3 linked regions of the Bombyx mori genome follow. The protein of the gene in region 3 binds, or shares a complex with, the protein of the main gene of each other region. Links are inferred from orthologs where the notes say so. Each region holds a gene or a part of one and is shown on either strand. Other genes may lie near its edges.

Region 1 (4,276 bases), on a different chromosome or scaffold from region 3:
TTGCATCATTTCATCGTACTCCTCCTGTATCATGAAAAAAATGAGAGCCATAAGAATACTCGTTGAAATTTAACCGAGTCAATTCATATCCATATACAACAGTATAGTATTTGTTAGCATAACATATAACACGGTATTATTTTATAATAACTAATGTTATGGATTATTGTTGTATAGTGTTAGGATTATTAATTATAAAAAATAATGTTATATTATAATACGATTCGGTATAAATAAAAATTCTATCGAAGTACGAATTGAAACTGTGTTATCTCTTAGAACACTTAAAACACTTCACAAACACGAGAGACTATTTCAGTTTCGCCCTAACATGAAGGTTCACGGGGCCCAAGCCTGAGTGTTGCTAACACTGGCCCTAGCAAGAGCAGCGCTTCGCAGAATCTACCACCGGATCGGGAACGCGACCCACTGAGAAGATTCGGCGAGAAACTTAGTTCGGCGAGGACTGTGACCGGTGCTTGTGGTACCTAAAAGCACCGTTAATGGATCGGGAGGATCCGTAATGACGTGTTTTGGGTGACGTCGACAGCATCTCTGCAACGCTTATAAAGTCGATACGACATCCCTAGAATCGTCGAGAACATTCCTCACAAGTCGAGCACTTTCAATGCGTGCTTCCGCTACCTGACAATAGATGGCGTTGTACTTTTCGAGCGTTCTAGATGTTGCTATCATTTGGTATTCGTTTCGGCTGTTCAGCGATAGATGGCGTTACTCTTACCGGCGTAACAATATATTATACGACATAAAGTGAAGGCAGCCGGAAAACGAATTGTTTTATTTAAAACTAGCTGACCCGGCAGACTTCGTAGTACCCCAATCGATAAATAAAAGACCGACAGGGGACACATCAAAGGAAAAACAAAATTGTTATTTTTATTAAATTCCGTGCATTTTCATATCTATCTATCTTTTAAATCTTCGCTCGACTTCCACAAATAATTCAAGACCAAAATTAGCCAAATCGGTTCAGCCGTTCTCGAGTTTTAGCGAGACTGATTAACAACAATTCATTTTTATATATATAGATATAGATAATAATAAGAAATTTTAAGGTACCTGCGTAAATGACTCTCCTTCTTCCATCATAAGCTTGGCGAACCTCTCTTTAGTGAGGTACCCACGTCCCTCCGTGTCAAAATATCTGAATGCAGCCAACAGCATTTCAGCGCTCGCCGGATAAAACCTGTCCCATTAATAAATAAAATACCTGACATAATGAACATTTTATGGAAAATTAAATTAAAAAATTCACGTACGAAAGGTAGAAAGCTAACATCAAAATCTACTTATCTCGGTGATCAATGGCGTAATTGGCTTTGTCAAAAATTCCAACGTTTCCATAAGCTACAATTTAATGGCATAAGCACCACATGATGCTTAGGCTAAAGTATAAGTGTAGGTAATTTATTTCGTAGTAAACGCAATACAGTGAAATCCAATTGTTCTTTGTCAATTTTTGATATTAGCATAGTCGGCCGCGTTTTAATTAGAAACAAAAACCTTAGCCACAGCAACGTGTGGCCGGGTCTGCCAGTATTATATTAAAAAGAAGATATGAAAAATAACAACGAAGATTGAGCCACACTGTCAAAATTTTAAAATTGTTTAACCTTTTTAATTTTAATATTACAAACCTATGTTCTATCATGACTTTACACATGTAAGGTAAAAAGTTCGTTAACGGAACGTTTCCAGTTGCTTCTTTGTTTTCCGTTGCTAAAATCACCTCTTGTATCTCGGCTTCAGTTGGACAGCAACCTTTAAAAAACATATATTTAACGTCTCTTTTGCTATATTCAAAATTTACCATGTAAACAGTCTATTTAGTACTCAAACAGTTATCCGCTTAGAAGTTTCCAAAACAAAAAACGGCCTAAGGGTCCGTTCACACAGACCGGCTCGGAGAGGAGAGCACCTTCATTCCGACTATTCCTCCTAAATAATTTGTAGCGACTCGAAGACGTGAATAATCACTGTCATACTAAAATTGAGATATCTATTATCCTAAAAGGGTGAAAAATTGGAGCACGGAAAGCAAAATGATGACTTTTTTCATGCGTAATTACGTTGTAAACACGGCTATTGTATTCTTACGATATTTAGTATGATTTCGCGATACTTCGGCACTGTTCCAAGCGCCATCGGCTACTCGTGGTGACTCGTGTCTTTTAATTTACCGTGAGAGTCAGAATTTTTTAAATACTCTTTATTACACTAGTAAAGTATTAAAACATTTAACGAAAACCAGAAAAAAAAGCATTACCCAAAGATCGAAGAATTGTTCCTATTTCCCTTACATCTACGACTTGCTTCCCAGAATGGTCAAATACTTCGAAAGCTTCAATTATTTTTTTCTCCAAATCATTGTTTGGTTGAACTAGAAAGATACATTTAAGGTATATGAGATATACCAATATATGACATATATCAGATATTATACCAGACGTAATATCTATTTACCAATAAAAATGTTTGGTTTTGTTTAAATTTCAACTAATAAATGTATTTATGTATGTATTCATTTATAATAAAATTTAATGAGTGATACTAAATTACACAGTATTTACATCGCTCGTTTATAAATTATTAAATGTATATAAAGTAAATCTTTCAAATAATAACTAACTTTTAGGTTCCTCTTTTCTTGCCATAATGAACTAATAGTTTAATTATAAGATTTGTAACACTAATAAGTACACGTATTAAATTGAAAAAAATATTCCGTAACCAGGCAACACAACCTATCAGTTATCACTAGTGTCATCGACGAAGCTTTAGTTCTATTTTGCACCAGAGCTGCTGTAAGTTAGTATGTATATATGTGACGGATGCTTTGAACATGATTTTGACCCCCTTCAAAACGTAGACTGAAATCAAAATTTGACATAGGTACTTATCAAGGACCGTTGACAATGCAATATTTTAAACAGTTAGACCTATTATCCATAAATTAGTTTTTTTTAGGATTAGCTCCCAGTTTTAACAGCTCCTCCACAATATTGACAAAGCTTAATTCAACCAATGTACAAATTAATAGCTTATTGTTGACATGTTGATGTTTAATTGTCGTACCACATTCAAAAAATATTAGTTAAAAAAAAATATATACTTTAAAAAACACAAAAATATGCTTTTATAGAAAATCAAATAGAAAATAAATTCATTGTAAAAACAATCCAATCTATACTGATTAAACAGCAGGCTTCCAGACTTTTGAGTAGTATGGATAAGAAACCCTTGGCCTTTTGAATTTTACAACAAATAGCTTATTCCAAAAAATTCTGGAATCGCCAATCCCCACCATAGATAATATACCGCCATTTCCTTCCGTTATGCTGATGCGCCGCTAAATCGCCATTTTGGATTTAGTTGGCGCTTTTTCTGTCGTGAATTTTCGTTCAGATAGTAATAGAATTAATATTATTTAAGCACATGTGTTTTAAAAACTTTAAAGTGTTGTGAAGTGGATACTATCAGACGATTAATACAATGGATCCTGCTAAAATGAAGGTGGTGGACTTGAGGTCCGAGTTGGGTGCTCTCGGGTTAGATACGAAGGGAAACAAGCCGGCTTTGGTAGAAAGATTGAAAAAAGCACTCGAAGCGAAAACTGGAACAGGTTAGGATTTCAGATGTAATTATTTAATGCGTAATGTACAGTTTTTTAGTAATGTTGCTGAAATTGTTGTTAGGGACTTTTTTAATTACTGCACGTGTACATTTGTCGATCAATCATGGATCATTGTTGCACTGTTGTTTCCACTTTAAGAGATTTAGTGTGATTCTTAGTAACTTTAACTTCCGTAGTAACCATACATCAGTTTGCTGTCCCATTTAGAGATTTGCAAACACACCTATTTTAATATCTGACGCCAAAATCAAGGTTACGACTTTATTCACACTCAAGCATGAGATAAAATCGCATAAAAATCTAATAATTTATTAAATATTAATGTACAGCATCATTAAGTTTTCGAAGTATTTTATATGTTTTTACTGATACAACGACGCATATCAGTTATTGCAGTTATTCCAACTGAACAGTTCAAATCGTAATCGGTTTGAAAACTTCGACATCGATATCAATTTATGTATACACTGTTTTATGGGAAATTCATTCATATGATTATTCTTAGGCTTAATAATAGGTAAGAAGAGCTCGATTCTGCAAAGTAAAATAAAACGAAATTCAATCAAATCAGTTAAAAGCTTTTTTTGCACAAAATGTATACGTCTTTTTGCTTCTAATGTC
Region 2 (4,066 bases), on a different chromosome or scaffold from region 3:
TCAGGAAGTCCTCACGAGATAATGTTCCGCAGTCATTTTTGTCTAGTGATGTGAATCGGGAATAAAGGCGTTCTATTTGATTAGGTGTGACTGAAAATGTTAAACATTGATTAGGTACAGAATGGTGTTTCAATCAGTTTCAGTGCATTTTAAATGTTACTGATGTTTAGTAATTTCATTAAAGTATGCATGGACATATCACTTGATGACTACATCATAAATAATTACAATAACAAACAATTGATTTAATAAGGAAAATAACTTACACCCGGTTTCTTCCTGTATTTGTGCAATTTCCTCCTCTCTCAACAACAAAGACGACTTATTTCCCATCTTTCTGTGAAATCACTACTAACCTTTGTGCCAAGACCTTTGATAAGGGAGCCCTGATAGCACTTAATTATTAATTAACCGCAGAATTTATTTAATAATTTACATTGGTTATGTGTGATAGTTATGTTTTTCAAAATTTTTATAACATGAAATGTATATAACTATTCCATTTGAAATAACAGTGAAAAAATTAAATTTCCTAATTTGATTTGAAGTATTTTGCCAATCAACTGATGAGAAAATTGTAGGTCTATGGAAAATTGAGAAATGTTCACGATCAGACTGTCACTGACATTTTACTTTTTGACATTTGAGAGTGACAGTAATTGTGACATGTATGCAGACTTGAATAGTGTTGCTAATGATTTTTTCGATTCTGGCTCTAGAAAAAATTCCGACCTCAAACCTGTATGTTAAATTATGAATTTGGCAGACAATGCTTTAATTACACCAGATAGGATAAGATTTAGGCGTGTACGAAATTTTACACATACTAAAATGGTTATTGTGAAAAGGCTTTTGGAGGGCCGCACGGGTATAAGCACTAAATAATTCCAGCTTAAAGCGATAAGGCAGCTGAAGATCTGAATTAAAAAAATTGAAAGGTAGTGTTTTTTGCTATGTTTTTGCTAGAATTGGATTTAAATATGATATTATTTTACATGTAAACTTGTCAATTTACTAAATTCACATAACCTTGCGCATTGCACGAGCGGTTGTCATGGTCTTTTTAGCTAGAATTTTATACTGTTTATGTACATTTTATACTGTCGTGTCAAATTTTTATTTCCCCCAACCTATGTATCGTATTATAATTTAACGTTTAACATAGTTTTGGCTTTTGTGGTCGTTTTATCCTCAGAAGTTCCAAGCCATCCTAATCGATGGCAATAGTTTTTAGCTTGCAACACAAACGTACCCTAACGTTTTGATATTGCTATGAAATTTTGAAATTACTAAGGGAAATAGAATGTTACACTGAAAACAGCTGTATTCAGGAAAGTTACGTGGTTGCGTAGGTAACTGAAATTTGAGTATTCTAGTCATGTTTATGTTAAATGAATCCAATTAATAGAAGTTGTAGCTTAATCATCTACAATGAGTGTTCCAAAACTACAATCAGAAACGTTTGGGACAGAAAGGAAATCGGAATTGGAGCCTCTGGACCCTTTATTGGAGGTAAATGAAAATGTAGCGAGTGAGATATTAGATGAACCAGATAAAGAAGAAGAATTCGATGAAATATCTCCTAAAGTGTTTAGTTTGAAAGATGTGAATGAACCTTTAACATTAGAAACGTTGAACAACACCATCTATGAGCTCGGTGTGATAAACTTATGCTGGCCGGATATAGTCGAACCAGTGTTCGAGACGAGAACTAAATTTCCAGAAAGCTACTACACGAACAGTCCAAAAGAACGCTTACTACTTGCTTATGCGGAATGTTTTAGGCGACAGTTCTTATTTCATTTTAAACCTCGGAAACCTTTGTTGCTACAAGCGCCAAACGAATGTGGATTACAGGTAATCTCTATTAACAATAGATGTCGCTAGATGTAACTTTGACCAAATGCACTTACGAACATGGGATAACGAGTTTAAAATACTATTACATACTAGTAATTTTTTATACACAAATACTTCGATTTGCTTTGGTTTACGCATAGACATTTTAACCTTACGATTTAATATCGCGTTTATTATTTTCGGAAGCTTCAGCGTAACCGCGAAAGCTTTTTTTTTAAATTGTATTTCCTACCTAAGCTGATGGTCTTGAGAAATCATATCAGCGTCATCGGGAGGTGAGCTCACGGGGCTAAAACCCTACGTTGTTACTAACACGAACCCTAGCAAGAGCCGCGCTTCGCAGAATCTACCACCCGATCGGAAACGCGACCCAGTGAGAAGATCCGGCGTGAAACTCAGTGGGCTGTGTCTGTGGGTTAATTTACTCGCCGAGCCTTTCGTGCAAGCGACGGGTTCGACAAGAACAATGACCGGTGCTTGGGGTACCTAAAAGCACCGTTAGTGGATCGGGACCACGAAAGCTGTGAAGTATTCGATTTTAATTCAAATAACCTGCTTCATACTAAACAATTCGGGTTTACCAGGGGTCGCTCTACAACTGATGCAGGTGCTTATCTAGTCAAAAATATTTTTAAATCTTGGGAGGAATCGCATGATTGTCTTGGAATTTTCTGTGACTTGTCCAAAGCATTTGACTGTGTTGAACATGAAACATTGGTGAGGAAACTACATCACTATGGTATTAGGGATGGTGCATTGGAACTTATTACTTCCTATTTATCAGGACGGATACAAACAGTAGATGTGAAAGGTAATAGATCTTCAGGCACCTTGTTGAAAATGGGTGTACCTCAGGGTTCCATTTTGGGTCCTTTTTTATTTCTAATATATATAAACGATTTACCTAGTTTTATTGAGTCCCGACACGAGGTCGTATTATTCGCAGATGATACATCTTTATTATTTAAAATTAAACGACAACTACAAGTCTATGACGAAGTGAATGATGCGATTTCGTGTGTGGTTCATTGGTTCCGTATCAATAACCTATTATTGAATAGTAAGAAAACTAAATGTATTAAATTTACTTTAAAATGTATTAAACCATCTTTAAATGTGAGACAAGTGGATAGTGATGTAATTGTTTCTGAGGAATCATTGGAGCTTGTTGAGTCAACCGTATTTCTTGGTATAACAGTGGACTCCAAACTGCAGTGGGGACCTCATATTCATAAATTGGCGAGTAAGCTCAGCTCTGCAGCATTCAAATTAAGGTTCAAACACCCGACGACCATAGGGCCCTCTCTTCTTACCTCCGTAAGGAGCGTATAAGTTTCCATACGTATACGCTCCAGGAGGAGCGCGAACTCCGCGTTGTAATACGCGGAATCCCTAAAGAGTTAGATGTAGAGCTCGTAAAAGCCGACCTGTTAGAACAAGGCCTACCAGTGAATTCTGTGCACCGTATGCACACCGGTCGCGGTAGGGAGCCATATAATATGGTTCTAGTCGCTCTCCAGCCTACCCCCGAGGGTAAGAAAATCTTTAACACACAGACCGTCTGTAGGCTCTCTGGTATCGCTGTCGAAGCCCCCCATAAAAAAGGCACTCCTAGCCAGTGCCATAACTGTCAATTGTACGGGCACTCTTCCCGTAACTGTCACGCGCGCCCCCGATGTGTTAAGTGTTTGGGCGATCACGCCACGGCCCTCTGCGCTCGCGACCAAAAAACCGCGACGGAACCGCCTAGCTGCGTCCTGTGTCGAACACAGGGTCACCCCGCGAATTACCGTGGTTGCCCCCGAGCCCCTAAAATAAATCGCCGCGTCGCCCGCCAAAACCGCCTCCGAGCTTCCGGCCCAGACATCAAAGCCTCGGCACCCTCTGCGTCGCAGGCTAAGCCAGCGTTCGTTCCGGCGGCGGTGCCCAGTGTCTCGGCCTGGGCAAAACCGCTGCCGTACACGAACACGGCTACAACTCCCTCCTCCGCGATTCGTCCCGCCCCCGCGACTCGTCCCTCTCCCGCGACTTGCCCTCCGACCGCGTCCGACAATCTCGCTTTAGCGATCGACTTCTTTCAGTCGATCAACTTTGAGCGCGTTAACGCTTTGGGCGACGCCATTCGCGCTGCCTCCACTGCACAACACTTTATCGCCGTTGTGCAGGAATACGCCGACGTATACGCGTCATTAAATACGTACGTCCT
Region 3 (4,237 bases):
GCGATGGATGTGTGGAGTAACGAGAATGGATAGAATACGGAATGAATATGTTAGAGGAAGTCTGAAAGTGGAACCTGTGACAGAGAAGTTGAGAAGTGCGCGTTTAGGATGGTATGGACATGTGATGAGACGAAATGACAATGAGGTTTGTAAGAAAGTGTTAACTATGAATGTGGAAGGATATAGAGGAAGAGGTAGACCTAAGAAGAAATGGATGGATTGCGTGACAGATGATATGTGTAAGAGGGGAGTGAGCGACGAAGTGGTATATGATAGAGGAGTATGGAAGTAGAAAACATGTTGCGCCACCCCAGGTGACTGGGAGAAGGGCAGGAGAATGATGATGACTTGCAATCTTACACAGGTTACAAATCATACACAGGGGGTTCATATCTAAGCAATTCGGTAGTCGCTGGTTTCCGACCTAGACCGCATACCTATTAGATAGCTCTCAGTAAGCCGTGAGCATATTTTTAAAGACAAATTACCTAAACAAAGCTCTACCGTCTTCTCTTTCTGCTTCCGTGACGATTTTGTAATCAAGATATGTAACTCTGGTTAAAGCTGATTTGATAAACTGATAAGCCATAGGGTCGTCGCAGCATGGGTTTCCCTTGAAGCTCACTGAACGAAGAAAACGGAATCTGCGGAGGTAGGCCATCTGTTGAAGGATGTTCAAAAAGCTATTTATGTATAAAGTAAAACTGTTAACAAAGATTGCTTGTGTGTACAGTGGAAATTTAAAAAAAAGTTATGAATGGATGTTAAAGATCCCTTGATGATACAACCCTTAGTATTAGATTTAAAAGTCTCATTTAATAGACGTAAATTATGTGGTCCTTATCTTACGGAATACTAATTCTCGTTATTAATATAACGCTTTAAGTTGATCTTCCATTTATTTTATTGTTTATGTATATCATTTAGCTTTTTTCCCCTACCAAATAGTTGGTAGCTAATCGTCACGGGCTCAGTCTGAAAGAACACTAACCTAACACCATCCTTAGCAAGAGCAGTGTATTGCTGAATCTACCACCGCATAGGGAATTGCGACCCATTGAGAAGATCCGGCAAGAAACTTAGTGGATTGTGTCGATGACGTAAAATTCTTCATCATATTCGAAGAGTTCGACGAGAGCGATGACCGGTACTTGGAGAGTCTAAAAGCACTAAGAGTAGATCTGGAGGATCCGACAAGACGTGCTTTCGGCGACAGCGACTTATCGTTGCCCCGTCGTTTGGGGCGGGTATAAGACATTTGACATGACACTGGGTAGTGGTTAGGTATAGAAGCGGCCACGATAAGAGGTTTTATGTGACGCGCTATTTGTTGGAGTTAGCAATTTTTTTTTATTACTTATATGTGTGGACGAGCTCACAGCCCACCTGGTGTTAAGTGGTTACTGGAGCCCATAGACATCTACAACGTAAATGCGCCACACACCTTGAGATATAGTTCTAAGGTCTCAGTATAGTCACAACGGCTGCCCCACCCTTCAAACCGAAACGCATTACTGCTTCACGGCAGAAATAGGCGGGGCGGTGGTACCTACCCGTGCGGACTCACAAGAGGTCCTACCACCAGTTATTACGCAAATTATAATTTTGCACGATGTTATTCCTTCACCGCGGAAATCAATCGTGAACATTTGCTGAGTACGTATTTCATTAGAAAAATTGGTACCCGCCAGCGGGATTCGAACACCCGTGCATCGCTCGATACGAATGCACCGGACGTCTTATCCTTTAGGCCACGACGACTTAGCATTAATAAAGTTTACATAAATGATTAGGATTTTTCTTTCCTATGCCATTTCTCGTCGACTTCTCGTCAGGTTTGAGCCCCGTGAGCTCACCTACTAGTTAAGGCTACGCTGATATAGCCTCTCAAGGCTCTCAGCTTAGTTAGCTGTTGATCTGTGACACTACCTGTCAATACATATCAGTGTTTTTTGAAACGATATATTGTTTCGTAGCATGATTATTTTTACTTACTTCTTTATAATCCTCTATTATATTATCACCAATACTAAATACAAGCAATTTTTCAAGCAATTCCATGTTTTCCAGTTTCCTGATTCTGTTATGAAACAACGTAAGGATTTCCAAATTTACGAGTTTATCCAAGTTTTCAATCTTTTCAATTTTGTTAAACGATAAATCTAGTTCATTCAGGCCAGTAAGTTGATCCAGATTTTCTATTTTTTCTATTAAATTATGAGCTAAAGTTAATTTCCTTAAAGATTTCAACATCCATAGATGATCGATTCTTAAAATATTTTGAAATTCAAGTCGAACTACTTGAGCTTCATCCAAATGTACTCCTTCTTCGGCAAAAAGTCTTCCTGCTTCTTCAGTAGGCCCTGGAAGGCAACAGATACAAAAGGTTTTTTATATAAGTCCCATTTTTAACCTATCATCTCTACTAAACCCACCGTACTCAAGTATACATCGTATGATCATCGCATTATCAATGACACCAGGCTCGATGTCTGGATATATTACAAGGCTATTCAATGATCTCTTCTCGGTCATCGTTAAACGTTTGCTTGTTGCAAATCAATTTGCAGTGACTTATTTAACAGTTTATTTATGTTATATACCTAGTTGCTAAGTTACATGATTTCAAATAATATGGCGGTTAAATGTGGTTGGTTCAAAATGAAATTATATTAAATGATGTTGTAATGATTATTCATTAATATTTAAAAAGTGGTTAACGTCAAGGTAGACATTATTATTATCATTTTTGATTCATTTCATGTTTCACATTCTGTATTTTCGTTTTACTCCTTATTTCTGAACATACAAAGTTTGACATTTAACTTGGTTAAAGTTGCCAGTTTCTTAAATGAAGTGTTTCGAAGAAATATATTTCGATATTTTTAAAAGACAGCATAGGATAGTAATCCACAGAGAAACCTTTTCACAGTTCAAACAGGTTCATATCCTAAAATTGCGGAAACGTCGGAAAATTATCAACGTTTATCCACATTTTTAGGGTATTTAGTCAAATCGCGGAAAAATCCCAGATTTTTGACATTGGTCTTTGATAGTGTGGGGTAATTGGAGACAGAAACTGGGCAACTCTAGTTTTTAATGACAAGTGAGATTGGTGAATTGCATCAATAGATAAATATTTTATTATTTTACAAAAATGTCGTTTTTTGGTGTAGGGAATCCCTTTTCTACGCCGGTGGGTCAAAAAATTGGTAAGTTTCATAAATTTATTACGAAAATTGATGCTAAAGTTGTAAGTTTATTGTTCCATGAAAGAAGTACATTTTCTTTTTGTTGCGCACTACAAGATTCCAATTTCTTATGTAGTGCAATTGCGGTATTCGCATACAAATGTTACATACCGCAATATATACGAACATTTTTATAGTATTAAAAAAAAATCAAATATTATGTATCTGTTAATTATTTTGACCTCACGATCACTTGTGTGTTTACATTAATTTTGATTATAGAACAAGCCACAGATGGCGCATTACCATCTGAAAATTGGGCTCTGAACATGGAAATATGCGATATAATAAACAGCAGTACGGACGGACCTAAAGATGCCATTAAAGCAATAAGAAAAAGGTTGACTACAAGCGCTGGGAAGAACTACACAGTGGTGATGTACACGCTGACTGTCCTGGAAACATGCGTAAAAAACTGTGGAAAGCCGTTCCATGTTCTCGTCTGCAATAAGGAATTTATATCAGAGTTGGTAAGTTGTACTATATTATTATGTACCACTATGTTTATTACAAAGCTCAGGAAGTACAATAGACACATTCATTTTATGTGAATGTGTGCAATTCAGCCTACCCTACCAATTTCGGTCTTCCTTAATTTCACACACAAATCTATGTAATGAAAAATATGAATTGCATAATCAAGACTGGTAGGGTTATTTGTCAGCTGGCATGATTCATTGCTTCTATCCAGTTTACTCTTACAAGATGAAATATTCATTTAATGAATTGCACTATGGTGCATTATGAATTTATCTTAATGTCTCAAGTAGGAAGTAAGAAGTTATGCTCTTGGGCATATCTAGATTTACACAATTTTTATCCATTACAAATTATAATTTACATAATGTTACACTATAAAATGTACAATGTAATGTAAATAGTATAATGTTGTTATTATACAGTGCATTAAAGACTTAGATATTATTACAGCATTTCATCTTACATAGTCATAAAAATATTTACATCTAAAATTAAAAAATTTACAT

What was found.
Region 1: dynein regulatory complex subunit 3 (region 3) and dynein regulatory complex protein 8 share a complex: the UniProt entries of both Homo sapiens proteins name them as parts of the nexin-dynein regulatory complex. The link is inferred for Bombyx mori from reciprocal best matches to the Homo sapiens genes DRC3 and DRC8.
Region 2: dynein regulatory complex subunit 3 (region 3) and dynein regulatory complex subunit 7 share a complex: the UniProt entries of both Homo sapiens proteins name them as parts of the nexin-dynein regulatory complex. The link is inferred for Bombyx mori from reciprocal best matches to the Homo sapiens genes DRC3 and DRC7.

The regions. Positions count from the first base shown.
Region 1 is NC_085130.1:5,994,819-5,999,094, reverse strand, and holds the start of dynein regulatory complex protein 8, read right to left. Parts: upstream 2,809-4,276; 5' UTR 2,676-2,808; coding exon 2,651-2,675; intron 2,402-2,650; coding exon 2,288-2,401; intron 1,783-2,287; coding exon 1,659-1,782; intron 1,208-1,658; coding exon 1,081-1,207; intron 264-1,080; exon of another isoform or gene 25-263; coding exon 1-24. Other genes in the region: heterogeneous nuclear ribonucleoprotein U-like protein 1, read left to right, coding at 3,514-3,643. UniProt on the Homo sapiens protein: Component of the nexin-dynein regulatory complex (N-DRC), a key regulator of ciliary/flagellar motility which maintains the alignment and integrity of the distal axoneme and regulates microtubule sliding in motile axonemes.
Region 2 is NC_085131.1:3,776,629-3,780,694, reverse strand, and holds the start of dynein regulatory complex subunit 7, read left to right. Parts: upstream 1-1,252; 5' UTR 1,253-1,431; coding exon 1,432-1,857; intron 1,858-4,066. Other genes in the region: calcium-binding protein p22, read right to left, coding at 1-90, 267-333. UniProt on the Homo sapiens protein: Component of the nexin-dynein regulatory complex (N-DRC) a key regulator of ciliary/flagellar motility which maintains the alignment and integrity of the distal axoneme and regulates microtubule sliding in motile axonemes.
Region 3 is NC_085117.1:10,151,681-10,155,917, forward strand, and holds the start of dynein regulatory complex subunit 3, read right to left. Parts: upstream 2,805-4,237; 5' UTR 2,536-2,804; coding exon 2,436-2,535; intron 2,364-2,435; coding exon 1,996-2,363; intron 662-1,995; coding exon 489-661; intron 1-488. Other genes in the region: TOM1-like protein 2, read left to right, coding at 3,158-3,212, 3,474-3,721. UniProt on the Homo sapiens protein: Component of the nexin-dynein regulatory complex (N-DRC) a key regulator of ciliary/flagellar motility which maintains the alignment and integrity of the distal axoneme and regulates microtubule sliding in motile axonemes.